4 linked regions of the Schizosaccharomyces pombe genome follow. The gene in region 1 interacts genetically with each later gene. Each region holds a gene or a part of one and is shown in the gene's direction. Other genes may lie near its edges. The genes, in order: tim13, hap2, coq10 and mgr2.

What was found.
Region 2: mutations in tim13 (region 1) and hap2 together harm fitness more than expected from each alone (negative genetic interaction), as found in Schizosaccharomyces pombe (one large-scale study listed by BioGRID).
Region 3: mutations in tim13 (region 1) and coq10 together harm fitness more than expected from each alone (negative genetic interaction), as found in Schizosaccharomyces pombe (one large-scale study listed by BioGRID).
Region 4: mutations in tim13 (region 1) and mgr2 together harm fitness more than expected from each alone (negative genetic interaction), as found in Schizosaccharomyces pombe (one large-scale study listed by BioGRID).

Annotation. Positions count from the first base shown.
Region 1 is NC_003424.3:4,479,635-4,487,106, forward strand, and holds tim13 (TIM22 inner membrane protein import complex subunit Tim13), read left to right. Parts: upstream 1-4,356; 5' UTR 4,357-4,443; coding exon 4,444-4,560; intron 4,561-4,618; coding exon 4,619-4,687; intron 4,688-4,730; coding exon 4,731-4,832; 3' UTR 4,833-5,023; downstream 5,024-7,472. Other genes in the region: scs22 (VAMP/synaptobrevin-associated protein family protein), read right to left, coding at 88-277; SPOM_SPAC17C9.11C (zf-C2H2 type zinc finger protein/UBA domain protein), read left to right, coding at 1,271-1,378, 1,524-2,100, 2,259-2,296; G-protein-coupled receptor Stm1, read right to left, coding at 2,326-3,141; endodeoxyribonuclease Pnu1, read right to left, coding at 5,201-5,640, 5,716-5,962, 6,079-6,360; dolichyl glucosyltransferase Alg8, read right to left, coding at 6,928-7,472. UniProt on the Schizosaccharomyces pombe protein: Mitochondrial intermembrane chaperone that participates in the import and insertion of some multi-pass transmembrane proteins into the mitochondrial inner membrane.
Region 2 is NC_003421.2:658,079-665,665, reverse strand, and holds hap2 (Ino80 complex subunit), read left to right. Parts: upstream 1-4,456; 5' UTR 4,457-4,484; coding exon 4,485-4,496; intron 4,497-4,541; coding exon 4,542-4,569; intron 4,570-4,621; coding exon 4,622-4,815; 3' UTR 4,816-4,926; downstream 4,927-7,587. Other genes in the region: peptidyl-prolyl cis-trans isomerase Pin1, read right to left, coding at 326-452, 598-998; protein asi1, read left to right, coding at 1,678-3,324; sif2 (Sad1-interacting factor 2), read right to left, coding at 5,345-5,368, 5,469-5,957, 6,038-6,099, 6,178-6,443, 6,527-6,834; rpp21 (RNase MRP subunit), read right to left, coding at 7,408-7,587.
Region 3 is NC_003421.2:875,865-884,923, forward strand, and holds coq10 (ubiquinone-binding protein Coq10), read left to right. Parts: upstream 1-5,301; coding exon 5,302-5,796; 3' UTR 5,797-7,030; downstream 7,031-9,059. Other genes in the region: sorting nexin Snx12, read left to right, coding at 1-1,776; U4/U6 x U5 tri-snRNP complex subunit Dim1, read right to left, coding at 2,075-2,290, 2,344-2,454, 2,538-2,578, 2,660-2,685, 2,736-2,770; gpi10 (pig-B family GPI synthesis protein), read right to left, coding at 3,783-5,303; sorting nexin Atg20, read left to right, coding at 7,528-7,671, 7,730-7,838, 7,958-9,059. UniProt on the Schizosaccharomyces pombe protein: Required for the function of coenzyme Q in the respiratory chain. May serve as a chaperone or may be involved in the transport of Q6 from its site of synthesis to the catalytic sites of the respiratory complexes.
Region 4 is NC_003423.3:1,564,927-1,572,503, reverse strand, and holds mgr2 (protein Mgr2), read left to right. Parts: upstream 1-1,584; 5' UTR 1,585-1,651; coding exon 1,652-1,685; exon of another isoform or gene 1,686-1,728; coding exon 1,729-2,057; 3' UTR 2,058-2,300; downstream 2,301-7,577. Other genes in the region: sua1 (sulfate adenylyltransferase), read left to right, coding at 1-1,019; SPOM_SPBC27.05 (uncharacterized protein), read right to left, coding at 2,432-2,758; septation protein Uds1, read right to left, coding at 2,943-6,101; protein meu25, read right to left, coding at 6,734-7,577. UniProt on the Schizosaccharomyces pombe protein: Required for cell viability in cells lacking mitochondrial DNA.

The DNA of each region.
Region 1 (7,472 bases):
CCCGACAACATCAATGATGGGAACCGCTTAAACGAATAAAATCAAAAAATGCAAATGAGGTTCAAAATTAAATATAAATTATCTTACCTTCAACACTTACAGCCGAATTGGCTTCAATTCGACCACCGTTGGGTCTCACACAGTACTGTTTAGGAGCAGTAGTTTTCACTTTGAATCCGATCGGATAAGGTGCAGTATTGCGAAGTTCTAAATCACATTTTACTAGTCGTGTAAGTGGTCGAGGAAACACAATTGTACTATCACATTCAAGAGCCATGATTTACGGGAAAGGCGAGTTTGTTGCGAGAGGTGGTACTACTTTACTCTGCGAAGTACCATTTCGCAGTGTAGCCAAAAATCGTGGCTTTACGTCACACATACTTGTGTGTGATTTTCCGAGGCTGAGCAAAGATTATGGTAATATATGGATACTGAAATAAAAGGAGATAATTATTCAAGTAACTGTTTTCATCGATATTATACAAAGCCTTATAACGATATTATTAAAATAAATGTGATATTTTGAAAGTAAAAAGTAATATATGCTAAAAAATATTTTGCAGTAGGTGAATAATGTACGAATGCAGTATGGTTATAAAATCCCAATAAGTATATGGATTTATTGTTTGTGAAATTAATAAATGATATAAATACCCAAAAAGGATGATTCAAGTTATCCTTTTTAATTTCTAAATGTCATGTTAATGCGTTTGAATTGTCTTAATTACAACTTAAGAATGCAAGGATGAAGTAAACATTATGATTTCAAAAAAAAATTGCGCATTCGTTTACACTTTCTATTCAAAGGAAATACGTTTTTTGGTTTAGACAATCATTAAATAGATATTGTATACTTTCGTTAATGGTCATTATGCTAGGGAAAAATCAACATTTTTATTTCAAGGAATATCAGCGATGCTTTAGAAAGCATACCATGTATAAAGGAAACGAATTACTCGAGTGGATGCCAACTACAGGATCACGAAAGTCAGTAATCATTTTCAATCATCGGTCTGCGGATGTCGTGCAATATATACAATCATTTATTCTTCTAATTCATAGCGTAATCGGTGGTAACTACAATTATTTTGTTTCATTTGACCTGTCATTTCTATTTCAATGACCAACAAATTTATAATGCTCTCAACTGCGATGTTTGGTAATACGATATTGTAGATATTAGCACGTTAGATGTTGAGTCGATGGAACGTAGGGCTATTTTTGAGCGTCATTGTAATTTGCCTTTTGCAACTACAAACTCTACACAAAAATGGTTTTGAAATGTTTGGAATGCGATAAATTGCTTTCCTCCATCGAAATGGCTGAATTTCATAGTACCAAAACCAGTCATGATCAATTTGAGGAAACTGAAGAAGAGGTATGTATAGATTTTACTCCTTTTACTTTTTGCTGAATGGTTGAAGCGTTCGAATTGTTAACCATCCTTATTATTATAATTCACGAAAACAATAATTTGTTTCACTCGATCCTTTCTTTTTATTAACAACGATTATAAAACATAGATTAAGAAGCGTTCTCCCGAAGAGTTAAAACAAGCTATTGAAGCTTTAAGAGAGAAAGCAAAGGAGAAAAAGGAAAAAGAAAGGATTTTGGCTCTGGAAGAGAAGAAGACAAATTATAAAATCCTTCAAAAATCCAATGATGAAACTGCACAGGCTATGAGAAAGATGCAGGATCAAGCCCGCTTACGTGACTTGCAAAAGATCCGTCAACAAAAGGCTGAAGATGCTGAGCAGCGTAAGAAAATCCTCGCAGAAATTGAACGCGATAAAAAACGACGAGCTGCAGAACGGGAAAATAAGAATTCTTCTGTAAAAGAAACGGCTGCTCCCATCAAGCAGCCTAAAAATGCCAATTCGTCTTCTACTTGTACTCGCACCCCTCCTACATCAGGCAGATTTTCTATCCGACACGATGGTCAAGTTTGTAATATAACTATTGCAGCTGAGGAGACGCTACGCCAATTGGCACAACAGGTCGCTGAGAAAATGAACGTGTCACCGCCAACTAAGTTTACCACTACCTTTCCCCGTGCCTCATACGGCACTGATGTATTTGATAAACCGGTTAACCAACTTGGTAAGTATCAAACTAGTGTTTACTGTCATCATGTGTGACATTAGAATACATGTTTTTGAAAGAATATTGTGTTGCTACTAGCATCTAAACGACATATCTTTGTTTCCTCTGAAAACTTTGAACTATAGACATGGAATATATTATTAACGCTTGCATAGATTTGTTTCCCTCAGCCGTTCTTATTCCGCAATGGTAAAGTTATGACCTTTTGATAATTATGCTGTGTTAATAATGATTACGATACTTGATAAACTGGTAGAAGATATATATATCAAGGAAGATGGTGCTGAACGCGCCAAGTATCCAAGGCAGGTTAGCATATGTGTAGTTTAAGTAATCGGAGGCGGGAAATACGAGAATGCTGAAAGCGTATGAAGTGTTTCCTACAGAGGCCAACACAAAAAAGATAATGGATAATCCTTCGGTAGACTTTGCTTTGTGATTCTTGATGATTTGAGGAATACGAGCACAGAAGTATAACACAGAACTGATACAACCGGCAGTAAACGGCCATGCATTCAAGTCATCATCACTCTTGTCAGAAGAGGCACTAGAAATAATTAAGTTTCCAACGATTGTCGAGACAATAACCACACATCCCATTACACCAAATTGTTGACGGGTAGAAAGGCGATCCCACCAAATTTGTTGTTTACCAATGGGTGCATGAAGACCTTCTTCTAATGAACGACTTTGGAGTAAGGGTTCGTGTTCACGACTGGCAATACGACGGGCAGCTTTCCAACGATAGTAGTAAATTTGCATAAGTAGGGTACTGTCAGAGACAATGTAATAAAATGAGAGAACCAATACAGTAGAAGAGACATTTCCGTAAATGGAACCAAGTACATTGAAGAAATCGCCAATAAGCCAGATGATTAAAAATAAATCAGAGATACTTTCACCAGACTGGTTTTTATAATTTTCAAGTAATTGAGGGATCAGTAAAACGACCCAACATCCCAGGGATAATGCTCCTAAAAATGAAGACAACTCCGTGAGTATGTTAGCCATATCAAAAGAAGGAGCTATCACAGACATGGGACAAAAATGCTTGCGAACAGATAATTTTAAAATGAATTTGAGAAGAGCTTGTCTAAGCTTTTTATGGTCAAAGTTTTTTATATGAGTGTGGAGGACAATAAATAAAAAGAACGGGAAACAAAGGGCTACAAAAGCGAAGCAACCTGAAAGGGAAATCAAACTATTAATTTAATAGGAATGATAAGCAATTATTAAAATTTGTCAACTTCCTCGAACGTGTAATGCTTCAGCACTATAATATTCGCTGATTTATTTTAGCGATCCAAGAGATGATACTTAATGAAAATTCGTTACAAGTATTTTTTTTTGTTTTAAAAAATAAACACTAAAAGGAATATCTATAATAATAATAATAACAATGGTAAACAATATTTCTCCCACTGTAAAGAAACAGAAGAGATTTGGTGGTGAGTTTGGCTCTGGATAAGATCAACCTCCCAGCCGTCCTGTTATTTATTTACCTCGGGCAAGGCTATATAGAGATTTCAAGATAAGAAAAATTTGCCGCCCATGCAGTTTCGCAGAATTAAGAAAGTGTCCGTGGATTTACAGATACAATTGATAGTCAATCCAAAGGTATCATTCTAAAGAAATATAAAGGAATAGTAAGCGAAATAGATTTTCCTTCGAATAATCCTATTTCACTTAACAATATAATTCTCAATGTAAATAACAGTCGCATTAATTTTATCAATGTCAAGCTAACTCGTTTTTGTTATAAAATTTAATACACCATAATATCGCTAGCAGTATTAAACATTGAAATGTTTACGTGACTTGTTTGATTCTCAGATTATTTGCAGTAAAAGATGTGCTAATTCCATGATTTAATTTCGAGACTATAAAACTCTATAAAAATTTCTTACAAATTGGGATTTTTATTTTTTTTTCTAAACAAGGGTAATGAAAAGTCATGAACGATTCATTTCGTATATTAAAATATTAAAAATAATAATAATAAAAAAACGCTGAAAAAACTTTTATTTCTAAACTCACCAAAAGGACCCGAATAGTATATCTATCCATTAGTTTAGAAATATTTTATTAAATCTTTTTTTTTTATACCAAGTAGAAAACAAAACAAAGATTGCTGTCTGGTTGTATCGCATATGTCAGCATATTAGAAAATCCATTTTCTATTAACGAAGTCTAATTGGTGATGATGGCCGGTTTCTGAATTAGTCTCCCTAAGTACACCGTTTGGTACTTTCCACGAACGTACCATTTCCTCATTAATTTTCCTTGTAAAGGAGTAAAAATTATCCACATTCATAAGTTTTAACGTTATACTTAAACAAAATGGGCATTTTCGGTGGAAATAGTGGAAATGCACCTTCTTCTGAAGACAAAAAATCCATTTTCATGAAACAAATTCGTCAGGAACTTGCTGTTGCTCAAGCTGGCGAATTGATAAGTGTATGCTCCATTCATTTTTTATGTTTTATTGAATGTTTTAACTAATCGGTTTATCTAGAAAATCAATGAGAACTGTTTTGATAAATGTATCCCGGAGCCTGGTTCCACATTCGATCCCAATGAAAAGGTATGAGAACTATTAAAATACTTTTATTCTAACTAGACAAAAGTCTTGCGTTTCCAAATGTATGGAACGCTATATGGATGCTTGGAACATTGTTTCTCGAACCTATATCTCTCGTATGCAACGAGAGCAGAAAAATCTCAACTGAATAATAATGATTTTTTTTTCTATCATTTTGTTTTACTCTCCTATGATATGTGTCTTGTTGTATAGTTGTGAAGTGACGGCAAAGCTTAATATGCAACGTAGAAATTTTTCTTTTCAACGTAGCTCACGCGCTTTCTCTCTAATAATTATAAACTTTCAGCAATTAAAATTCGTTTCATGTTCTTTTCCTAATCATGCTAAACACTTACAAGTGTTGTTATACTACTGGGTAAAATACTTATAATTGTTTCTTTGACATGTAGCATTTAAGTATTATTGTGTAAATAACAGTTTAAATATTTTCATAATAAAGAACGATCACCGGAAAAACTAGAAAAACTAGAGATTCATTAAATTTCCTTATTCTTATCATTTACCTTGATTCTTTTGTTTTTGTTTAACTGATTCAACAAACTCCTTAACATTTAACTGACACACCACTTCACTGCAAAGTTGTTTTCGGTTACCCTTGGGTACGTTTGATAAGATCTCTAATCCGCTTGCTCGTTCCACAACCTCAACGGGAACTGCAAAGTTCTTTAACGGAAAGTTGTCAGCAATAGGTTTGTTGGGAAGAACGAATGCAGCTACTGATGGACTTGAGGTAGGCTCTCCTGATTTTTCTGCAATGATTACTTTAAAAAAATGAGTAGGAACTGCGACGTTGGGAGGATTGCCAATTACTCGATACTGAACTTCCCATTGTCCACGTTCATTTTTTTTAGGTAAATACAGCGGTCCCGTCATTATGGTAACTGAGCCGTATTTACTTGTAAGGCGTCGACACCAATCTTCAAAGTATGCCCAATCTAATTGTTATAGTTAGTAACTAGTCAAATTTATTAATGTATTAAAAGAAAAAGTCTCGTTAAGTTTTTGCTTACAGTTTCTATTGAAACCATCTCCCACTTGTGGACACATATTAGAAAGATAGAAAGTTTCGTTCATTGCTTCCTGACTAAATTTACAATCTGCTGCAGGTACTTGATGACCACGATCATAACCGCTTCCTCTGTAATCTCCTAACTTTGCTTGAAACATTTCAGGAATATTATCATCTGGAACGAACTCAGAGTACCTGCGATTGCCTTTGCGTTGGTTCAACGATTCTTGTGTAATGGTTTCCGCTGTCTAGTTTATTATTAATATAATGCACTCCGAGAGACCAGAAATTTAAACATTTAATCTATTGCCGTGATCTATAATTCCTAGGTAAAGAAAGCTTAGGAAACGGTGTTTTTGCTTACATAGAATGGATTTCGTGTTCTCCGATCGAACACAGACATATAGCCATGGTTTACCCTTTGGTCTGCCACTGGTCCTGGTATGCCGTATTGAAAAAATTTGGTGGCATTAAAATCATATATAGATTCTAAGGCTCGACCAGCAGAGTCAAATTTGGTATACCTGGGTGTCAAGTCTGGTACATCGGATCCTTGATATCCTTTATAATAAAAATGCGTGAAAGTTACACCCGAGATCGCTCCAATTGCTATTAATCCAAAAGATTTGATAAGATTACTAGACATATCGTCGATTGGGAATTAAAAGAAGTGGGAGTGTAGGTAAAGAGAAGATTGGAATATTCACTGCGTGTGAGTTTTTAAATAATTGGGAGTTATCGTTATGGCCAAGAAGAATATTAAAAATATATTGTTAAACATTAATTTTACGAGGTTTCTGAAGTAAGAAAAATTTAACTCTTTACGATTAATAATACAACATTAAATATAAAAGTCAATTAAGTGATTCATTTGTGGATGTTTAGAATGTATAATTCCAAATTCACGCTTATTATCAAGAAAAAGTGTTAGTAAATCTATTAATTTTAAAAATATATAATTCCAATTTTAGGAAACAACAGTATGTTAAAAAAAAAACGACTTTTTGACAGGGACTATTAATTTAAGAAAAACATCTACAGAGATCTAAGATTTCATCTACTGACAAAACATTTTGTTTATGGAACCAACACAACATGAAAATGACCTTGTATTTCCATTTCATCTGTGCTAAATCAAGCTTAAAAACAGAATCGCTTTTCTTATTCGAGTTGGAACCTTTGTTTTTTTATGGCACATCATAATATCATTATCTCATTTCAAATCGGTGAAATAAAGCCAGAGAAGACTAACGAAAGACCAGAAAATACCCCATGCAGCATAAGTACTTAAAAGCATTAAAGGTAAGAACTCAAATTTGTCACCCATAACCAACTTGTGAATAAAACAGTTATAAATGAAAAGAGGTACAAATCCTGAAATGTAAGCAATGTTTACTCTATTGAGTAAGAAAACTCTTTTAACTGGAACAGGCGCACATTTGTCAAAAGTTAATAACATAGCAATCCAAGCACCTGTAAACAAATATTTTATAGGGGCTTCATTAAGAGTAAATAATAAGGGAAGTAATGATAGGTAACCAGAAACCGCTAATGGACGAAATGCTTCCAAGTACCGACGGTCAATTAAAGACAATATGCTAAATGGCAGAATTACCATCAGAATAGCTTTCTCATGTACGTGCCAACCAAACAAAAAACTTATCCAACCACATAGAGTGACAGCTCCCACGAAAACCCGCCATGTGGGTTTAATAAAAAGTTTGATTAAAACAGTGATTTGAAGACCGAGACATATGT
Region 2 (7,587 bases), on another chromosome or scaffold:
AGCAAAGCGAAATCAAATCATTTTGTTTTCAACCTAGGTAGTAAGCTGGCTCGTGTTCATGAATGGGCAAACACTTAAATACTAAGTTAAAATGTATTATAAACGGGTGAACGTCAGAAATAAGGGACATACAAAGCGACAATTGTGAATATTCTCCTTTGGGAAAATGGTCAACAAAATGTAAAAAATCATCAGAAGAGATAAATTTGTGACAAAACAAGACAAACATTTTGTTTGCTTTTTCAAGCATACGGAAAGGGAGTAAGTGAAAATAAGAAATAAAGCATACTCATTAATATTATTAGGTAATTGTTTTGCAAATGAATTAAGCGTGTCTTTGAATGATGTGAAACCCACTGCTCGTTTCAACCACTCCACTAATTTCACCGGGTTTCAAGGCAAACGCAGCGTCTTCAAACGGTTTTTGCATTTCGTCTCTTCCAAATTCGCCTCTACACATAGTGTTAGTAAAAATCGTTCCAGTTGAAAATCAGACTACACTTGGCAAACCAACAAGAGCTTATCACCAAGTGTGGCACCACCATATACTGTCGGTCTTGCGACTCGTATTTAATTACAGTATATCAAAATACATACAATTCACCTCCGCGACGAGCGGAGCTACAATCCGACTCTTTCATGGCTAAATCATGCATGCTTACAGAGCCACTCTTTAGCAATTGTTCATAGTGTTCAGCCAGCTTCCTCGCCTCCTCCTTGCTCCTAGTAATGTGCTCCTCCTTCCATGAGCTGGGACGACGGCTTTCTCGATGCTTTACGAGTAAATGGCTAGCACGAATCTTGGGTGAATTGCTTGCCTCGGTGGGTGTAACTGACTCCTGCAACTCGTTTGCAATGAACTTTTTCAGGGCAGCCATATCAGTGGCAGCCGGAGGCTCCCATAAAGACTCATGCGTCTCAGTATTAAAGAAGTAGGGACGATTTCTGGAGCGTGAAATCTTGACAATCCATGGTTTGGGTAACCCAGTATTAGACATTTTTTTTACCACAACGCTTCTTCAAAAAATGGATTCACTAAGACAGAAAAAATCCTCAACTATAAATTACAAGCAAAACACGTTCAATCTCTGCAATTTGAAGCTTGTTTATTTGCTTTGTTTAGAGTCACGTAGTAGCTAGAGTCGTTTGCCATCTATTATGTAAATAAAGCACATTTGCTATGTTGCTATGTCAACCACCACTAAGGCCTTCGATAGGAAAGGAAATGGGGGCATTCTACCTTTTTATCCCAAGTGGGGGCACTTTCCAAAGTACCAGAAGATAGGGCATACCTTATTCGTCAATTGGAGACAAAACTCAAGGCATGCCTTTTTGCCTCAGCATAAGCGGAACACCTAGCTTGAAAGAGTAAAAAGTCGTAGAGGACTACAAATTCGATATTTATTTAATTAATCAAGAAAAATTGGTGTAATTTGAAGTAGAAACATTTTTTTTCTGGCAGATTTGAGTGGAATTTGAGGAAAAAGGTGAGAAGTTTGGAGATTTCGGATTGTTGAACGAAAATTTGTTGGATTTGAAAATTGTTAGACTTTTGGTGCATTCCTCTTTTCGTTTGTCAAAGTTTACTTAGTGTCGTAGACTGCAGTGAGAAGAGCTCGGTTTTAAGTTTTTTTTTCATAAATAATAGGTTATTGAGGTACAATTCAATTCACCTTAATGCATATTCCACACTTTCATCTTCACAAGGGTCCCAAAGGCGTGCGCACTATATCGTATGAGCAGCTTCTCTCCGAAGATGACTCGTATGCGTCTGAAAAGCTGAGTGAGGACCATGTAACGGAGGTTCATTTTGTTACTGATAAGGACGAGGATTCAAATGCTTCCGGCGAGTCGAGAGGTTCTATGGAGTTGTTGGAAAACTGTTTTTCTTTGCTGCATGCCCAGGACGATACAAGTAAATTTGTGTCATTGACCATGCTTGCAAAATTACTCAATGATCATCCCAATCTCATCTTCAAATGCTGGGAAAGGATGGATATGAAGTTTTTGGACCGCTTGCTCCTTTCCACTCATTACGAGTACGTAGATTTGGGCGTCTCCATCCTTCTCGCTTTCTGCAGTGAAGAAGCCATTTTACGAAGTTATGAAGTGAAAAAAAGGGTTTCTACTTTACTACAGTGTTGTTTGAAACATTATGATCTTTGTATCCCGGTTATATGTACTTTGTCTTCCAACCCAAAATCAGCTAAGTATCTCCTTTACTATACATCATTTATTATCAACGAATTTCCATTTGAACAAGCATTTGAAATCCTTTCAAACGCACTATACGCCCTCGACAACGTACAGACGTATATGCGTCCCATTTTCCAAGGTATCGACAAACGACGCGGATGGAAGTTGGACTGTACTTTCTCGTTTTTTAGCGATTTGTTTTCGCGATTCCCGGTTCAATCATGGTATTCCGAGGCCATTCGTGCTAATCTCCAGCCTTTGATGGATGCGGTTGTTGAACGCTTTATCACCGATAAAAATCTTTCTTCAGCTACCGTTATTCTTTCTAACCTTCTTAAAGCTGCTGGTCCCGCCTCTATTATGCCAAATGATGGGTTTATGATTTTGGTGATTGGTCGCTGCTCTGCTGAGATTCGAGGAAGTCTGGGAATGCTAGTTAAGGCAGTTGGTCAGAAAGGAAAGCATGGAACTGTGTCGTACACGGTTTGTGAATGCTATGAAGTTCTTGGACTCCTCATTCGATATCTATGTGAAAATTGTGACGTTCTTGCCCAAAGAATTGAGCCTGATAAATTTTTCCAACTTCAGCGATCGCTTACTGAGTTGTTTAGCGATACGATGGATTTTCTTCGTGATGCATGGGATAACAATAAAAACCGTGACAATTTAGCATCACATGTAACTGTAATCAGTGCTGTGGCTACCTTGTGTTTGTGGTTGACCGAAGATGACAGCCAATATGCACAAGCCTCTGGTCTTATGGACATATTTGTATATCTGTGGAGGCATAGCTGGTCGAATGGAATTGATTATGCTAAATGGATTAGCGTTGCTCTCCCTTCCATGCTGAGCAACAAGGTTTTCTTTAAAGCTTTTAAAGATTTTGATGCATGGAAAGTTGTTTATGACGATTTTATCAAGTGTAACGATGATTTAAAAGGCGACAAGTCTTTTAACGATTATATACTATCTACGAACGAAGAAGATGGGGAGGATGAACGACTTGCTCAAGCTATTCAAGATTTTCACATTCTCATTCAACTTAACTCTCTTGTTCCACAGTCAATTTGGAATGATGATATTTGGCAAGAGCCATATTGGAAGAATTTGCTTGAATCCAATTTTTAAAAAAGTTTTTGCTTTTAAAACAAATGCCCGCTTTAATATCTCCCCATAATTATTATTTTTCGTTCTTTTTAAGTTTTCTTTTTTTTTGGTCGAAAAAAACATGTCGATTTTTATTTGACAATTATTTAAGTGAAACTCTGCTTCTTTGTCTTTGTTTATTATTTTATTTGATTAATAACTTAATTTCTTGGGTACTTGAAGGGATCTTTAATTTAATACTTGGATTGTGTATCCGGGTTCTTATTATTGCCGTTGTTTTTAAACAATTTCTATGTGCTTTTGTTCATGAAATATTAACTCCTCTATCTTAGACTGGTTTATATTACCAAAAAATATACGTCTAAAACCTCTTTGACCCCTTCTCTTTTTTCTAATTTTCCTCCTCGCCCCTCTTTATTTAATTTCAGCCCACTCATAAATGTCTGTATTGTTTCAATTCAATGCTAGAAGCAAGGTGAAACCCTTGTATTTTTTATTATCTTTTTATCATTTCTGTTTGTTTTTATTTCGTTGTTGAACATTATTTGGTTTCAATTTTCTTTCAGAAGGTTCTTTCTGTTTTATTTCGCTTTTTCCCTTCTGAAAATTATTTTGCCAATGAGACACTGCTTTATTACTTGAAATTTTCTGTGCAACCGGAGCCTGGTTCTGCTGGAAGTATTCGTTTATGACAGTGCATTTATAAAACGAATGACAGATTTACTCTGAATCAGTGGCTGACAATATCATTTTTGAACTTATCCGAAGTAAATTCATGATTCTTTGTTATGAAATGATCATAAATCGTTTTTGAAATATTTGTTCACATGTATGATGTACCTTTGTTTATTGAAATTTGACTTTCGTATTGTAAATGTGAGACATGATCCATTCTTTTTCTACCCAAAAGAAGCAAAAATGTAATATGAATGGATAAGAGAAGTCAGCCAAAAAAGGATTAGCTTTATATTAGACATTTGTTTTTCACTAGCAATACCCAGCTGATGGGTAAGAAAACTAGATAACGGTTTCGGTTCGTATCGTTATAAACCCTTGGTTGCGTAATGTAGTAGGCAATCTTCTATAACGAAGTAAGCAGTTTTTCGTTAAATACAATACAGATTTTAAGCAAACTAGCTTTGCATTCTTCACCAGAAACTGAGAACGTGAAGCTTTCGGGAATGGATCCACAGGTAGGAGGTTTATTACCTATTTGTAATTATTTATTGACCGCGTAGGTGGTAAATTTGCTTCAAGAAACTGAAGGTGTGTACCGATTTTTGTCTGACGACTTTTTGCTAATGAACTCGACGTATAGAGGACGTGTATCGGCGTAAAACCGCAAGGATTCGAAGAAAAGTCTCGGAAATTGAAAAGGAATGCGAAATGTATGCTGTGAAAATTTACAACGTTGAAAGAGACATTCAGCGGTATCGCCATGAAGCGCAATTGCTATCTAAAGTGCTCGAGAAAAAAGGGTTAAATAAAGAAAAGGAAGCTGGTGAGACATAATACTTGTTTTAGGCAGGCGCTTGATGTTTTTATTTTTAAGTCTTCATTCGTTTTAAAATCACTTTGCCGGCCATTGATCTATAATCGTTAACATGCTTTTTTTTGACTAAGTATATGAAGTATGTAATGATTGATGGTAAAAATTGGACTCTGCAACCGAAGAAAAAAAACCTTATGTAATTTTTTGAAAAGTCATACTTTGTGCCGAAATCAATACAATATCTACGTACTATGGCTGTTGTTGTCCTTTTTTGTGTAACCCATTTCAACGTTCTTTTATGTGGGAAATCAACTAGGAATCTTCAAAGAAGAGAAAAAAAGAGCTTTATCTTCTATTAAGTAGGATTATTATAGAAGACTACCGTGTAATGTCAATAAATCATGAACTAACCGAAACTAAAAAAAAACTAAAGGAAAAAGCCGAAACATATGCGTAATCAACTCGATAAATATGGTTTAATTTTTTTGCCCTTTCCCATTTCTTCAATTATGTAAACATAATGTAAAAAGAGGAAAGATTCTTCGGTTGTTATTGAAACAGCTTCCAATCCACCTATGTAGAATAATGTGTTAGCAAACAGTAAAATAAATTTGTTGGAATTGTTGATTACTAAACGGAAGTCATTCAATTTGAAACCATCGGCCAAACGTACCACTATACTGAATAAGGCTATCAGCACCAACAGCCCCATAAGGATTACCACAATCCATTCTAGAGATTCATCATGTGTATGTGTTATCTGTTCTTTCAACATTGAAAGTAGGTCTCCAATTACCTCCACTCTTTGATTTAGTAAAGCAACTCTTTGGTTAATTTCCAAGTAAGACCGTGCTGCTGTATATATAGGTTCTAACTGCGGCTCCGTCCACATCAGCTCAGGACTATCCAAAACGCTTCCTTGTAAATTAATGTTAATTCTTAAAATAAACAACTGGCCTACGGCCATCATAATTTCCTCTCTTTTCAAATTCACTCTGCCAGTCTCGGCAATCATTTGGGGTGTATCTTTAGTAGCATCTATTGTTTCGTTGACCAGCTCTTCAAATAGTGATATTTTGACTGATTGAGCAATAGCATGTGAAATTGAAAGACGAATCATGTAGTTGGATGCATCCCGAAGTGCTATAAAGTCGTTGAATATCTATATCTGTTAGTCGACTAGCTTCACCATGAGGAAAAAGAGCTAAAGACAAAAATTTTTATCAATAAAAATGTTCATACCCTTGGTTGATAAAGAGTCGTTATATAGTAGTTAAACTCTTCTACCTCCATATCTTCGATCTCTAAAAATTACAAATGTTAATAACTGCTTAAAGATACAACAATATGATAATGACTGTCACCCAAAGTAATTTGCATACTTAATTTTTCAATTTCAAAGCGACCGAGTTCTCTTAAGAAACGATGCTCTTCATCAATTGTGTATCCCCATAAAACAACAACGCCATAAGTAAAGCAAAACACTTCCCGAAACAAGGGTTGATTCCTGTCCAACCCGGATTCTTCAAAAATACTTTGTAGACTTTCTTGAGAAGATTCTCGATTTAACGTTCCACGGGAGGACTCCAATGTGTCAGGAAGTAAGTCTGTCGTCTCTTCATTATTGTAGCTATACGGACTATAAATACTGTTATAATGTTAGATAAACCTCTTCAAGTAAATATCAATAAGGATCAATAGAATGAGAAAAATGCAAAAATATTAACTAACCATTCGTCAAATTGTTTAGGTCTTGTTTTATGACTACTTCTTCGAGATTGAAAAAACTTAAACAGCAAGTCGACTCTAAATGTATCGCATGTACAATAGGCAGTTACTCTTGGTAAGAATTCTCGATGCCGTTTTCCAAGATGCTCTGCGTCTCGTTTTGCCGTTGACCCTTCTATTTGAGGAATTTGGGAGTACACTTCGCGCCCCGTATCCTGCCTTCTAAAATCATCAAATTCTTCTGTAGAAGGAAGAAGCCGAAGCTTCGCTGCAGTTTTTGTGGATCTCTGAGGCCCAATTCTATTACTCATCCTCAGAATGCAAAACTGGAGTTGGTAATTGACACAAGCTCAACTTCAGGTGGTAGACAGTGAGAGACCTCTCTTGTAAAGGAATGAACGATTAATCGGAAACTTAAAAATATGCTCATAAGGGCGTTGTCAAAAGAAAACTACTGAAAATATGCTACGCACAATAACCGCAAGTTGACGATTTGTTTGCTATTCTGTGATTGACATTTCCGTATATATTTCGCACCATACAAGTGACAAATCAAAGAAATAGTAAATAAATAAGTTAAAAGTAAATACAAATAGAAGAAGGGGCCCCTTGTCTAAACTCGTCCAACCCAAACGAATAGTTCTAATACAAATGTAAATAAAAGTAAACAACGGGAAAAGGTAACGATCAAATCTAAAACGGGAAGTTCAAATTTTAAATCAAAACTACATTAAGACAAATGAGCTGAACTAAAAGAGGAAGAAGTACACGGCGCTGAAGGCTGTAATAAATGTCAGAAAAGTTTCAATCCTCATTTTAGAGGGAAAATATGTGTATAAGAATATGACAACTAGATAGAAAATTGATAGATCAATCAGAATCACTCATATCGGTGACATAAAGTCTTGTAAACTTAATGAAGATGTGCTTTTTGCAACCTCATCTTTTTTTTTCTTCCTATCCAAAATTCCATTAAGTCCGGAGGCTCTCAAACGTTGTCTTTGTTTTACTTTGGCATTATGGGCAGATTTTCGACTTTCGAGTTTCGTAGATGAAGATTCAGC
Region 3 (9,059 bases), on another chromosome or scaffold:
TGGCTTGTAGTTGAAGGCCTAAAAGAATCACAGGATGATCCATTGAATGCGCATATGATTGCGCCGTTTTCCGATATCGTTTCTGACCATACAGACTTTACAGCCATTGTCAAATCATACTTTGAAAGCGTCGATAACCCACTGGACATCCCAAAGCCTCTCACTAATACAATTAATAAATTCGTTAACCAAAGTAAAGATAACTTAAACCCTGATCTATGGGTAGAGGCTAGGAATGCAATGCTTATGGCTCAAGAGCATGTGTTCGATATCATGCAGAACAGTGATTATTCTGAATTCGTTAACAGCGAGATCTATTACAGGTTCCTAGCCCAAGATGTAGTATCTGATCATAAGTCTACCAATTCTTCTGCCACGTTCAGTAGATTAGAAGAGTTGGGCGAGAACATACCAGCGATATCAAAACAACCTTCATATCTTAGTATTTCTTCGTCGTCAAAATCCATCAATTCATCTCCTTCTCCCTCTATTCAGTTATCTGTCTCTTCGTCCATTTCTCGGGATAAAAACCTCTCTCCTTTGGATTTAGAATTGGATGATCCTACCTATAGTGATGAAGAAGAAGTTTTATTTGCTCCACCAGGTGATCTCCAACTTTCTGAAAGTATCGATGAATTAAACAATAACATCGAGGAGTTGAAAGCTCAATTAAACGCTATCAACACTCTTATAAAGAAGGCTGAGCTGGTTGCTGACCAAAAGCAATTGAAAAGCCTTACTAAAAACCATCAAGAGATTGAAAAAGCAATTCACCGCAAAGAACGTCAACGAGATCAGTATATGTCGCAAGAAGAAGACAGTAAACTCTTTAATCGCTCTCGGGTGTCTATTGATTCATTTAAAATTAGCAAAGAGGAGAACACCCCAGACTTTGCTGTTTACACCATACGCATTGAACGACTTGAAAATGGACATGTCCGTTCCGGATGGATGGTGGCTAGACGGTATCGAGAGTTTGCAGAGTTGCATAAGCAGCTAAAGCAAACATACCCTGGAGTCAGATCTTTAAAATTTCCTCAAAAATCGATCATCACCTCTTTAAACAAAAATGTTTTGGAATATCGAAGGGGTGCTTTAGAAGAATATCTTCAATCATTATTCAGAATGCCAGAGGTTTGTGACAGCAAAATGTTGAGGATGTTTTTGTCACAACAAAATATCACAGCACCACAAATGTTTAATCCTAAAGAAGTTGGCAAAAAATGGAAGCAGCTTTTAGAAGTCTTAGGGTTTGAAGTTAATAATTCTTTCAACGCATCCAACGTTAACACTAACTCGTCATTCTCAGGTCCCATCTCGGAATTTTTAGTCGAATTGTTTTCTCCAAATGACGATGCAAAGCAGCAATGGTTACCGAAAAAAACTTATATATCGATATTGGAACAACTTTTTGGCGGAGCTTTGGAAAAGCGTATACGACTACAACTGTTTCAGTTGTTTACGCCTGAGAAGATTTATAGGAAGTTACGCGAGTTTAGACGAGGACTTGAAGGTAAATCTAATCATGATCACTCCAAAGACCGCCGTCATTCACGGGCGCGAAAGCCAGCTTATGCTGATAGGAATCAATTGAAAGCAGAAGCAGGGATTTTGCTTGCTTCCATGTTTCCCGGCTATACACCTGATATTGCTGTGAAAAGAATATTTCGTATTCTCCAAAACCAATCTCTAAACGCTCATGTTATATACACCCTTCTTGACGAGATTTTGCTGGCTTTAAAGAAACACGCTAGATCAACTAATAAGGCAACTTGAGTGTCACTTTTTTACCTCTCTTGTTAAATCATAGCAAGAGTAATCATGTTCATGCTTTTCTTTAATCATATAATGTAATTTCTTCATAGGATTTGATAATACTTTATTACAATTCATCCACTAGATAATTTCAAATCCTGTATTGTTACTGACTTTAAAAGAAGGGTTATACCATTTGAAGTACAAATTATGCGTAAAAATTAAAGCAAAAAGACTTTTTCATTTTAGCCAAAAACTATCAAATTACTATGATTTTTCTATCCCCTCTCCATTTTCTTGCATAAGCAAATGGTGGCTTCTAGTAGCGATGTCGGGTAGAGTAATCTTTTGGAGAAATAACAAGACCTTTACCTTTTCTAGCACCACGAAAAATAGTTTCTATAATATCGATCATCTCTTGTTTATCTTCTAACGGCCAGTTGATTTTGTTATTGTTACCAGTACCTAAGTCAATCATCATGTGTTTGTTTCGATAAAAAAACATTATTGTAGTTCTGTCATAAAGCTCGTACATCTAGATGGTAATAAGGTTAGCAACATGACTTTCCAACTAAGACTTAGACTTACCTTGTTGAAGTCAGGAACTTCGTCAATGTCCACTAAATATATGACAGCCATGTTGACGACCTTTTCAGCAATTCTGTATAGGACTTCATCTTGTTTTATACATTCTTCATCCTATTCCGTTACGCGTTAGTAAATTAATCCGCCTACAATATTAAATAGACTTAATCCAAGTAGATATCGACATTAGAACATACATGATCTCTACCAAATCGAATGACAACCAAGCGCTCTTGTTCTATTTATAAAAAAAAAGGTTAATAAGCTGATTCGAAGTTGTGAAACGAGAAACATTCTACGTTTCTTAAAGTTCGCGTACCTGATAAAATTGCTTGATCAACGTGCCTATAAACATAAGTTAGAGAAGAATAAATCCATCTATCACAAAAACTTACCATCCAGAATGTAAATGAGGTAAAAAATAACTCATTATATCAACTGAAGCTGCTGAATTGCAATATTTTGGTAATTTCTAGCAGACGAGAATAGTGTAGATATGTAAGTCACACAATATACACTTTGCGCGTTAGGATGTAGCAATGCTTTAACTCTACGTAAAAAAGCGTATAATAGTGTAAATGCTATTCAGTAAATAAATTTAGTGAAGTTATGAGATTCTTGACACAAGTGGGATTGCTATTACTTTCGTACATTACATGCTTAGTTGAATCGTTGATGTGTTTACTACAATTATATATATTCATACTTCATCTAATAAAACAATGAAATTCAGAATTTTTTACAATTCTAGAAACCGACCGTTTAAGCAGTTTACTGTGTTTAAAAATTAAAGTATCCGTAATATTCCAAATATTTTGTGAAATACTATTATAAAAAATTTAATTTAGAATCGTAGCTAGGCCGTATAAAATTATTTTTTCAAGTCCCAATCGCAACATAGACGAATGACCTTTGCGTTTTTCTCGACTCCATAGCATAAAATTACAATTGCAAATTCTTTAAGTGACTTGGGTGTTCGCGTTGTAAGCTAACTTTTCTTTTTCAGATTTGTTTGGAGAGTGCAGGATATGCTATAAATTTGTATTTAAGAAAATTTCTGAAAGGTTAAAGTCGCCAAAGGTTGAAAATTTTAAAATGATGTTGATTCATGATAATGGCTTCGGGGAAGATAAGTGTTCCACCCATGTCTTAAGTTTTAATAGTAAATGGCTTAGGATTACTTTATTCGTCTACAAATTGTTGCTTCCTCTTGCTCTGTGAAGACTTGATATGGCCCCCTCTATAATCCACGAACCATAATAGAAATGCAAATCGTTTATAATGGGGAGCTAGAAATCAAGCTGGCGTTTTAGGGATAAACCAAATATTGTCCAAAGCAAGTAATAGTCATCAGTGGTTTCATTTAAAATACATCAATAGTTGTTAAAATGCAGATAATTATGCTGACCTGTGAAATTTTTGGGGTATGAAGAATCATGTAATTAGAGTTTCTTATACACTAACAGAGCTCCAGCTCTCTCTCGACTTTCAGGAATCAAGGAGTTATAATACCTCTGTACTTCTTCATACTTCAACCCTCGGGAGTCAAGATAGCTGTATAAGCTATAAAACCGCTCTTCAAAGAAAATCAGATAATCCGGCCATTCTTTAATTTTATCTAGAAAAGTAGGCATATTCTCGTAAAAACGATCCGTCTCATCAAAGGGCTTTTCGAACGGTTCACATGTCAAGAACTTCCATCCATTTTCAGCAAAAGGTGAATGGATATGCGACTGCCATGGTGTAGTGTGACACGGAGCAAGTATTAGACCAGTTTGGTTTTTTTCAGCAAGTGAATGTATTAATGGCATAACTTCCATGACTCCAAATTGATGAAATCGGCATAAAAATGTAATTACCAGAGCATGTCCCAATCCAATAAGGAAGAAAAACCGTGCTGCACGCTTCCAAGAGGAAAATGATGAAAAAAATTTTCCAGCTAAAGTAAGTAAAATCGGTGAAATTGGGTATACAAACCGAAGTTCTTTATGTCCTATCAGTGAATAGGGAAAGAAAACACAAAGAATGGTTCCCGCTGTTTGAAGGTCCATTGTGAGTAATACGAATGGAAGAAATCCTCCGCATATTAATGGGAGGGCTTGAGAAAGGTAATAGTGCCATGCGTTCAATCCATACAAAGAGGAAAGGCCTGAAGTAACATTAAATTGAAAGAACGAAATGATGGGAAAGACAAAACGACCGTAAAGTATTCTATCAGCAATAATATTAACTAAAAATAAAGACACACACAAAACGAATATGCCAAAAAGCCGCCCATAACCGAGAGCATATAAAAAACGAAAGCGATTAAAAACATTGGAAAACGAGAGTAAATCCTTTATGGGTGTTTGAGGATTTTTGTTCCAGAATAAAAGTGGGAATATCCAGACTAGTATATTTGTAGGTCGGATGAAACAAGCAAAGGCTGCGACTGAAATGAAGCCCAAAAGTGAAGAGTACGCTTTCTTACGTTGCTCAGGAGAAGAGTTTTCATATTTTAGGTAGTAAGAGAAATAGTAAAATCCTATGGAAGTCAATGTTGTCTCCAATGAATTGGAAAAGGTTCGGACACCAACGTACGCATTCATTATGGAGACAAGAGAGCAAGCCAACGTCCAATTCGCGGTTTTAGAACCATATCTTACTAGTGCAAATTTATAAGTTCCATAATCTAGTATAGCAGCAAACGTTCCTTGCAGGAGTTTTGGAGCGTTCGTGAAAACGAAGTAAGATGAGTCTAACTTGAGTACTTGCAAAACACGATATAGCGCTGCAAATATAAGCGGATGTAGAGCTGAACGGATTGCTGAGGTCCATTCCCACGTTAAGAATCCATAGCGGAATATGAAGTGATGGGCCACCTCTAACGATTGGTAAAATTCATCAGGTTGAAAGAACGTTTTTACCCACAACGCATTCCACCATCGGAAAACAAGAATCGCTAACCAAAACCAAATTCTCATGGCTTTTCGATGTACGTTACGACGGTTGGAATGCTACCGCGCTTCTAGACTTATGCCTTACAAGCCTTCGTTCTTGTTCAGTTTAATAAGCAATGTCAACGAATACGAACGGTTTGTGCCTTTCTGTCAAAAGTCCAAAGTCACTGAATACGATCCTAAAACTGGATATCCTACAAAGGCCGACCTTACAGTTGGTTTTAAAGGATTGTGTGAAACTTTTGATAGTAAGGTGGTTTGTGATCCTGTTGCCCTAACCGTGTTGGCAGACGCGTCCCATCATCGTCTGTTCCGGCGGCTTAAAACACATTGGAGTATTGAAGAGGCATCTCGGGGACGTGTTCGTGTTGATTTAGAGGTGGATTTTGAATTTGCAAGCAAACTCCATGGCATGATGAGCAAGTTTGTTGGATCTTCTGTAGCTTCTGAAATCATTCAAGGATTCGTCCAACAGGCTAAAATAAAGCATAAGCTAGAATCAGAAAATGAGAAATAATTACAATGATCCTGCATACAAAGGGGCTATGCCGCTATTCTTTCCATCTCAGCGTTTTTCCATCGTCTCTCTTTCAACCAAAGAAGGATATATTTTTATAAAAGGTTTCTTTTAGGAAATCATGGCTTCAGTAAGCTAAATTTTGGATCCTTCTCTTCACCTTATGTATTTATTTTATTTCATTTTTTTGGATACTCGCCAATATCATGGTATAGTTTGCTTTACTGCAATTTTTTTGATGCACAACAAAAAACTTGGTAAATTATTTCTCTACTATTAAATCAAGAGCTTAGGAGGAATTCTCATTTCTTAAAGAAACTTTACTTTGACGAAACTGTATTTTTTTTTTTGTTTTAACAATATGTCTTGAATATGCCTTCCTTTTCTTGAGTCACTGATAACCAAATATATATAATTATAGGGGTGTCTCTCTTTCTATTTAGTGCTGAAATATTGCGGATGAGCTTTGCCTCTAAAGTTGATAACCAGAGATCAGGAGTCCTTGAAGGTCAACTGTTTACAAAATTATCCTTCCTTGCTTTTGAATAGAAGGTGAAATTGGTTATGGAATGCTTCATGAAGATTTGCATTCAAAATGCATCCAGAACAATCACAAGTGTTATTTAAAAGTAAAGAATCCCTGAAGGAAAGAAAAAGTGATCTATGATGATCGTTGTTAAAAAGTCTATCAAATTTGGTCTACTGAGATATATCTAGGGAAAGCAAAATCATTTAAGTAAGACAATTCATGAAATACCCGGAGCACCTTTATAGTCGACTTTTCTTTCGATGATAAACATGACATGATTTCCATTATAGCTACAGAAACGAATTTTATGAAAAACAATCTTGTGTTTACCAACATTTTAATATCGTGCTCTATTAAACTGTGCAATATGCAAATACGGTGTTTGCCGATTTGCATTAACGGGAAGTATTTCTCCAGTAAATAAATGAAGCAAAGTGTTTTTATGTAAAATCCTTTTATCGCTTTTAACTTATAAGGATTTACTTAGTATATAAAGTTGCTGAATGGAGCCTTAAAAGTTCTAGCTGTTTTTTCGTGAAATAAACTATAGCATCACCATTCCATAGGTCCATTAGAAGTTGTGGAAATTATCCATGAGCATTTTTATATAGTGAAATTAGAATAATTTTTATCATTGAAAATAAATTATTAATTTAGTTCATTTCGAGGATGAAAACAAGTTTTATTATAATATACCTCTTATTTATACCGCATTGTTTACATCGCACGATATAACCAAACGAATCCAGTTAACGATAGCTACAACAGCCATCGGTATTAAACTATAGTGATTTGATAAGATGTTTCGAAATATATACTGGATAATATAATCACTGTCCGCTATCATAACCTTAAAAAGAAATCTCCTCTACAACTGCATTACTTGTTTACTGTGATAGTACTAAGAAATTCTCCACGTAAACCAAAATCTATTTTTTTTTCGAAATCTCGTATTTTATATACATAGGTTTCCCCTGTCATTTTAAAGTTCTGATTGTTTCTTTGACCTTATGGAAACCCATTTTACAATGCATTCAGTATAACGCTATCTAATCCATTCTCATATACAGTATAACGTAGTTATAAGTATATTGATTTGCGATCTCTATCATATTACAACGAAATACAATCCAGTCTGCAAAGCCATGACTTATATGACGAACTAGCTACATTTCTTTCTCCATTAAATCGATTAAAGAAGTATGGCACAAGACGATTCTTACGAAGAGAAACCTGAAGTTATATCCAGCGACTCGGGAGGAAGTGGTTATTCAACTGAAATCCAGATCGTCGGTACAGTAACTTCCTCGGACGGTTCGTATGTTGAGTATGAAATTGTACACCAGGTATGTGGCTTGAGATCCTTGGTATCTATGAGTTTAGCTGCTAATTTTTATACTGTAGAAGCGTTCCGTTTGGCGGAGATATTCGGATTTTGAGTCCTTGGTTAAGTTGATGCGTCGGCAGTATCCCGCTGCAATTGTTCCTCCTATACCGGGAAAACAATCACTTTGTAAGTTTTCCAATATATTTAGATATAATATCTTTCATCGCGTTTTTTCATTTTCTTTTCAAACGTTTATTAACATGGGCTGTGTGCAATTCATTGTACACACATGCTCCGCTGTTTAGTAAGTTATGCCAAACATCCACGAAAAGCTAAAAGTGATGCTGAATTCTTAAATTTTCGCTCCAGGATGCTAGAATTGTTTCTTCGTCAGTGTCTTTTGCATCCATGCATTCGTTCCAATCCTATTTTCGATAAGTTTATTCATAGCACTGTTTCTTGGCACGTGACTTTATCATCTTTAGATTTACCAAAGGATTCAAATACTGATCCACTCCGCCTTCCTCCTATTGCTACTGAGCATGACCCATTCGCTCATTTGCGCTCTTCCATGCCACTTGTAATGGCCAACTCATTAAGTCCCCCTTCGTCTCGCGCATTAAAGCCAATCCATTCCTTATCTAATCCTTCAACTGCTTCGAGTTTAGAACCTTCTTCTCCTTTGGGCTCTGAGGATGAATGTCATCCCCCAACAAGCGATATGCAACCTACGCATGAATTGAATGAAAGTCCTTCTACCCCAACGGCACCAGACTTTCCACATTACAATAGCTCACCTTCGGAGTTATCTCCCACACAGCGTCGTTCCAGCATTTCTAATGGTAAAGACGCACCCTCTCCAGTACTCAAAGATTTGACTTCCTATACTCAAGAAGTGATTGTTTGTCGGAAATTCCTTCATCATAGTCTGAGTCCTTCCATACATTCAACTTTATCTAGTATTTCTAAAATGGAGTCTTGCCTTTCAAAGTTAGGATCGGCATTTCACTCTTTGACTGCTCTCAATGAAATACAATTAGCAAATCATTTGCAAGTGATTGCTAATGCCTTTGAATTCAGCGGAATGTACGCCAAGGAATTCGAACAAGAATTTAATTCCTCCGTCTATGAAAAAATGGTTCAGTCTATGCAGCTGGCGAAGTGTGCCGCAGATGCTCTTAAGTATAAGCAATTGAAGATACAACAGCGAGATTTTCTTCAAGACCAGCTCATCCACTCTAACACAATGTCTGCTACCGACTCTATGGTAGCTGCTTCACCCACGATACACCCGGCGACCAGATTGAATACTATTCAACGAGCAGTTGTCTCCCAAGCCAAAAAGGGTTACACAATTTTTGGTCGCTTACAAAACGTTTTACATGACTTTGTAGAAGGTGAAACCTC
Region 4 (7,577 bases), on another chromosome or scaffold:
TTGGTGGTAAACTTCAAGCCGTTACTCCTATTCGCCATTTCGATTTCGTAGAGTACCGCTACTCACCTGCTCAACTTCGCTCTGACTTCCAGCGTAACAACTGGAATCGCGTCGTTGCTTTCCAAACCCGTAATCCCATGCATCGCGCCCATCGTGAGCTTACCGTCCGTGCTGCTAAGCAACACGGTGCCCGTGTGCTCATTCACCCTGTCGTCGGTATGACCAAGCCTGGTGATATCGATCACTTCACCCGTGTGCGTGTTTACGAGGCTATTCTCCAACGCTATCCTAAGGGTTCCGCCAAGCTCTCTCTTCTTCCCTTAGCCATGCGTATGGCTGGTCCTCGTGAAGCTTTATGGCACGCCATCATTCGTAAGAACTACGGTGCTTCTCATTTCATCATTGGTCGTGATCATGCTGGTCCTGGTAAGAACAGTCAAGGCGAGGATTTTTATGGTCCTTACGATGCTCAGTACCTTGTTGAACAATACGCTCAGGAAATCGGTATCACCATTGTTCCTTTCCAAATGATGACTTACCTTCCTGATGAGGACATCTACAAGCCAGTTGACAAAGTCGAACCCGGTACCCGTACTTTGAACATCAGTGGTACTGAACTTCGTCGCCGTCTTCGCGTCGGTGCCAACATCCCTGAGTGGTTCTCTTATCCAGAGGTTGTCGCTATTTTACGTCAATCCTATCCTCCCAAATACTCTCAAGGATTTGTTTTGGCTGTTCCTGCCACCTCCGATAAACTTCTCCCCAGCGCTCTAGTTTCAGCCTTGAACGAGGATGGTCGCCGCCATGTCACTCTTTTACCTCGCTTAGATGCTATTTCAGTGTTTTACGCCCAAGAATTGCAACGTGCTGGTGCTGCCGTTGTTGTTTCTCTGGCTGATGCTGATGCATCTGTTAAAGTACCTGCTGAGTGGACTACCGTAAACATCAAGCCCAAAGACTCTGTTTCTGAGGTTACTTTTGCTGTCCTTTCACAATTGTCTGACGAAGGCTATCTTTAAAATAATGTTTTTTGACATATATATATATATATATATATACATATATCCATTTTTGTTCTTTTATGTTCTACTTGTCTATTAAATAATAAAATAATTGCTGCAGGAATGACAACACTCCCTCATTAGAACTTTGCCATTTGTAGATGTAACTAAGAATGCAACTCAATTAAATTTCGCTAAGGACATGTTAGTAATTAATTAGCGATAGGCTTCTTAATAACAAAAGGTAGGAAATTCAATCCGAAGCCGAGGGGAATTAATTTATTATATATGTCAGATATACATAGCAGACTTTAGCAATTGCAATACATGCCAATGCAATGTTTTATTTTAATTCAGAAGTCATTATAACGTTAAGCCTATGCTCTCACTTAACGCATGCCTGGATGTAATACATTGTTACATTTACTTAAAAAAACTGGGCTTATAAAAAATATATATATAGGTTTTCTTTAAATTAACATTTCCTAAACTAAACTATTGATTTAACAAAAGAAATTGTTACATCTATTGTTATACCTAGGTATCCAATATAATAACTGTATACTACCTTACTTTTCCTACCAACAAAATCCCCCTTGAAACTAGTGCTCTCTATTTCTAAATAAAAGTAAGACCTTTAACTACTCAAAATGCAATCTATGCAACCTTCAACTGTGGATAAGCGTAAGTTCTATATTGTATGAATTCAGTCATTAACACTGAACAGTAAAAATGGGCGCCATTATGGGTTCAGCTGCTGGACTTGGCATCGGGTTTTTATTTGGAGGAGTAGCAGTTTTGCGCTATGGGCCTGGTCCACGTGGATTCTTAAGGACCTTAGGTCAATACATGTTAACATCTGCGGCCACTTTTGGCTTTTTCATGTCCATCGGCTCTGTAATTCGCAACGAAGATATACCACTAATACAGCAGTCAGGCTCACATTGGAATCAAAGATTATTAAATGAAAATGCAAATTCCAGTCGTATTTTTGCCTTGGCTATGCAACAGGCCAAAAGTTCTCCACGTAAATCAAATGAAGTTGCTGAGTGCTAATTTCGTTTAATCCGATTATAATAAAAGTATCATACTATCATTTTGTTAGTATATGAGGTACAATATTTGTTTCTCCTGAATTCTGAGTTAAAGATGTACTGATGATTGTACTATCATGCATTTAAACTAAAAAGCTTTGGCCGCTACATCAAAGGACTTTTGCATTTTTCTGATAGTTCATGTTTAAAAAAGTCTTTATACCATATTGTTAATATTTTGATGGCGATTTAATTTTCCTTAAAATTTTTACGATTTAAAGATTTGGGTAATTTGCTAGGTGGTAAATTGGTAAATTAGTTTGTTTCGATGAATAATATTTGTAGCAATAGTTACAAAAAATGATCGAAGACAAGCTATTACAAATAAGCTAATTATTATTTGATCATAAAGATATTTAGAAACAATACTTGTGCCTTAAAACTTGCAATATCAATAATGCTTGTCATAAGGAAGATTCGGTTACATATGGGTTGAAGATACATATGCTCATTAGTATTATTAAATGTATTATATATGCTTGATGTTATCACTTCTTTAGATGCTAATTGTAATGTAAATGCGTCTGTTGTCTCTTTTTGTACACGCATTATTAGTTGGTATCTTATATAAAACTTCGATTCAATCTCCAACTGGTAAAGCAAAATGCAATTAATGCCAGAATAAAATAAATATGCAAGTCCATAAACCGTTGTATGCACCATTCATAAGCAGAATTTACTGCGTTCATAAAGTTGCGAAAGCATAGTCTTCAAAATCTTTCGTTTGCTTCTTAGCCAAAATTCAAAAAAAAACTTGAAAGCACCTGCAAAAAGGTCCAAGAAGGAAAAAAGTTTATAATCGGAACATCTTCCTTATACAGCTGCAAATTTAGAAGATCGTATTTGGTTATGCTGCAGAAGTAGATACTCTCCTCATACTACTTTCAAAACTGTGTAAAGTCCTTAAAGAGCCGAATTTTTCCTTTTTCGGCAAAAACGCTTCACAGTCGTTTCTCATTGAATCCATGCTTATCCTAGACTTATTCCCCAGACTTACTGAATCGGTTGAAACATTGTCATCAAAATGCAAGGAATCGTCTTCTGTATGAATAACTTGTACGATTTCGCTTGAATTCTCAGTAGTGATATTATCATTTTCAGTACTGTTCATACATGAACATTGTTCAGGGTCCTGGACTTCAATATCGTTGGCCGGAATCTCAATTGTTTCCTCTAAAGTAGTTAAATTTTCATCCTCTTTTACTTCCTTGATGTCTTCCAGCTCATCCTTCTCGATATCATCTTGACGAGTTTCTTCAACTTCATCTTGTAAGATGGAGTTTTCTGCTTGCACTTCATCATCTACAGCGTTCGTCTCGGTCATAGAGATGTCCTGAGATATATCGATGTTTTCTTCAGCTTCATCGATTAGCTCAGTAACCTTGTCAGGCTTCTCAACGAACCCAATTGCAGTCTGATTAATACCTTCGCATGCATTGACCATATCAAGGGAGGAATTTTTGTCGTTCATTTGTCCTTCATATACTTTGTTTTCACAGTCATCAGTTGTAGTAGATTGTTCCACCACGACAGATTCTAGAACATCATTCTGGTTGTTGTTTGCTTCATCAACGGCTTCTTTTCCAAGATCATTTTCTTCACTGCCTTTGTCAATATTATCAGAATGCTCTACCTCAACAGGTATGGTTAAAGTATTTTCAATCTCGTCATTCACATCAGTAGACTGGGTCATTTCAACTGTACTGAGGATGCCGCCAATAAGAGATTTGTCATCTTTCTCAGACGGCTGATAATCCTTTTCAGCTTCTTCTACATTGCTGTTTTCATTGATCGGTTGTTCTAACTTCACGGGTTCTGAGGTTATGACTTCTTCATCAGTTGTATCAGGGACAACGACGTCAGCACCCGTTTGAACAGGAAGGCTACAGTCAACTGGAAAGTTTTCTGAATTTATAGTTAATTCAGCTTGCGCTGGTTTCTCGCTACCGTCAAGTAGGACATCACTGCTCAAGCTCTCCTTCCTCAAACGCGGTTCATTATCAGGGGTGCTAAGACTATTCCCTTGTTCATTTTTGTTAGTTTCAGACCCATCTGTAGAAGTCGAATTTTCAAATTCTTCGTTAATGTTTTGCTTAGGTGCTGGTTGAGTCTCGGAGATGGTTTTCCTGTCATCATCGGAGGAATAGGAAGGACTAGAAATTTCAGAAATTTCATCCTCTAACTGCAAATTTTGTTGAGTGTATGGTCCCATTAATGGCATACCAAAATCAAATGAATTCTCCAAATTGAGGCTTGCAAATATATTCTCCATTTGCAATTGCTTTAGCGTAAGGTTGCTTACAGTAGCAGAGTTCTTCTCCTGAACTTCTTTTTCCATTTCCAAAGTTGTAACGCGAGATTGTAATAACTCATTTTCTCTTGTCAAAGCCTCTAATCTGTTCTGCAATGCATTGTTCTGCTTTATTGCATAATCGGAATCGGGATCATCAGGCTGGGAATTCATAGCCTTTACAACTTCAAGCTCAGCACGTAAGGCAACCATCTCGTCGTTCAAATTTCTAACCTGGTCTTTCGCATAATGATGTGCCTTTATTTGTTGCTCAAATTGCAGTTTGACATGAGAAATCTGAGACAACAGATCCTTTTCTATAAGCTTGGCAGCTTTTTTCTCATTTTCCAATTGCTGGATATTAGACTCCAATTGCAACAAGGACTGCTGTTGCTGATACTTTTCAGAAAGATATACTGAACACTGGGCACAAAGTGTATTCGCCTTATCTTTACTCAGGTTGGAGGTATCCGAATGGTCATCTGCTAGAGATGAATCATACGTACAAGGCATTGTTTCTTTAGGTTTATCGTTATTTTCAGCGGCCTCAGAAAACCCTTCCCTATGAAGGCGAGCCATATGTTTACTCTGCTCTTCAATGATATCTTGAAGCTCCTTAAGCTTTTTCGTATTTTCATCTCGGACACTTGCTAGAAGTTCATTGCTTGAAGCAAGCTCTTTCTTTTGTGTTTGGTATAATGACAATAGATGGTGCAGAAGAAAGCAAAATGATTCAATGTCAAAATCAGATTTCAAATGTTTATCGAGTTCATCATCAGGAAGTGCATTACTCTTCTCTGGCGTATCATTGTCGCCGCGAAACAGCTCAGTAAGTAACCGCCAAAAGTTCACAATAGCGCGAGGAGCAATATCTTTCGCATCAGCATCTTCCTCCAACTTTTTCTCGTATATTTGTTTCAAAATAAGCTCTAAGTGACGAACTTGCTCGAGTAGCCGTTCACCAGCGTTCATTTGTACTGCATCTAGGACAGATGGTTCACGAATTGAATTACCCATTGATTGAGCAATTTCCAGTATACGGCTCATACGCTCTACAAGCTGCTCAATTTCCTCATTGTTCATTATTTCTTCATCTCGAAATCCAGTTGCGCTCTCATCAGCGGTGATGGCAGAAACCGGTGAAGATACCTTGCTACAGCTACCTGGTTTAAGCTCAGCAATGCACACAGCAACCATATGCTTCAATAGGTGCATATAAAATTCTGCAAGTTTCCTTTCAATAAGCCATATCTTAGAAGAAAGTTCTCTAACTCTACGAGAACATTGTTCGTAATGCTCTATCGTACTTTGTTTATGTTTTCCTTTTTTCTCCTTAGCTTGGGCAACCATCAAATTCTTAGCAGCTTCTCTAATTTTGGCTTCGACAGCCAGTTTTTTTATAGAAACACCAAGTAATCCCTGCAGGTTTTTTATTTTCTGTTTTATTTCTTCAACGTCTTTTCCGGAAAGGTACACCCAACCTTTTGCATCTTTAACAGCAGACGCAACTAAAAGGGTTCGCATTTCCTCCTCACCTGTAGATATAGACACATCTTCAGAACTGCTAGCCTTTCCTACATACACGAAAGTGGATAAAAATGGATTGACTGGTCGTGTATTAATTAATATGCTTGAAGAAGGTGGTTCAGGATTCCCATATTTCTCAATTAACTCAGGTTCATATTCATCTGTACTTAAACATCCATGAAACCCCATTTTTGGGTAAAATGGGTAAATGTAAATGTTGAATCTTTTGTTTGTTTACAGCCGCATACGCTTTATTTTGTATGAATTTCGTTTCCATGACAACTAACATTGAAATGTAAATAAACAAAGCACCTAAGCCAACCTATTATCACGTTGCAATGATCGGTCGCTAAGCATTTCATTCTCCAGATTATACGACTATTAAAGTCCCTTTGCAATTTTAGGTTTGTGTATCGGTGGGCTCTGCTGTTTGTTATTTATCGACGTTGAACCGGTATTTTGATCAACATTCATTATGGTGTTTGCAAATAATCCACATTACTTTTTATATGTTAAAAGATTATTTAGAGCATACTTTAACGGTCCTACACTTACATTTATTACCCTATGTGACGAATTCGACCTACACATTTTTACTTAGACCACCTCAAAAAAAGTGATAATATTTTCAAGTATTAATAAGTCAATATTTAGTATATTCGTAAAAACTTTTGTCAAGTTCGTATAGGTTTGTAAATAATGAATGTGCAGATGAAACAAAATTTCGCTTAAAAGGTACACTACCATCCTAGAAGAGATTCCTAGGAACCTCAACACTGAATGGTCGATAACATGTGATAGAAAATTATGTGACAGTACGTTTAAACTTGGTAAAGTAAAGCCTCGTTATCATCAAATGCGACTTTGTTCAAAAACCCTTTTCGTTGTACAGTGCCCAATTCTGGAATGTGCTCAACAGACTTTGCATAATCTAATAAACTATACTGTTTATCGAGATGAACCAAATGTGGAAATAAATAGCCTACAATTTCTAGGTGATGCATGATAAAAAGCCAGTTTTGAGCTGTACGACTAGGTGCTGTGTTTAACAACTTAATAGTGTTTAGGTCATAAGTTGTTAATTCACGATCCACAGACAAAAACGTTTCAGCAGTTGAAGTTTGAACGCAAACAAGGTCAGGGAAACGTTGTACGCAGTGGAAACTAGATATTGGCATAACCAGCAACTTCGGATGACCGATTTTTGAAAAAATAACTTGCTTCTTCCAAAGGGCAAGGTTGGGGTCTAACTCTAAACTAGCAGAAAACTCCGCTAAGTACTTCCAGAGTAGATCTTGTTGTTGATGAGGAAATGAATCGAAATGATCTAGTTCACAAAGGAATTTGCATGGGTTGCTGAGAAGCTCGTTTGTATAATTAGTTTTTTCCTCTTCAGACCAAAAGAAATCAGCTTCCCTTGTCTTTGCTAAGGAGCTTAGCATGATATACCGCTGCTTATGTGCTTCTTTGGGTAAGATCAATGAAATAAGTTTTGTGCTGAAGTAGGATAATTCCCTAATGCTAATGGAATTTTGTTCTTCCTTTTCATTTTCATTTTCAGGATCGTTCAGTTGAATGAAAGATTGCCCAGTATGTTCACTGTCGAAACATAGTAGCAATCGGAGTAAACGTTCTTCTCTACAGCAACGAAAATCCCAACGTGAC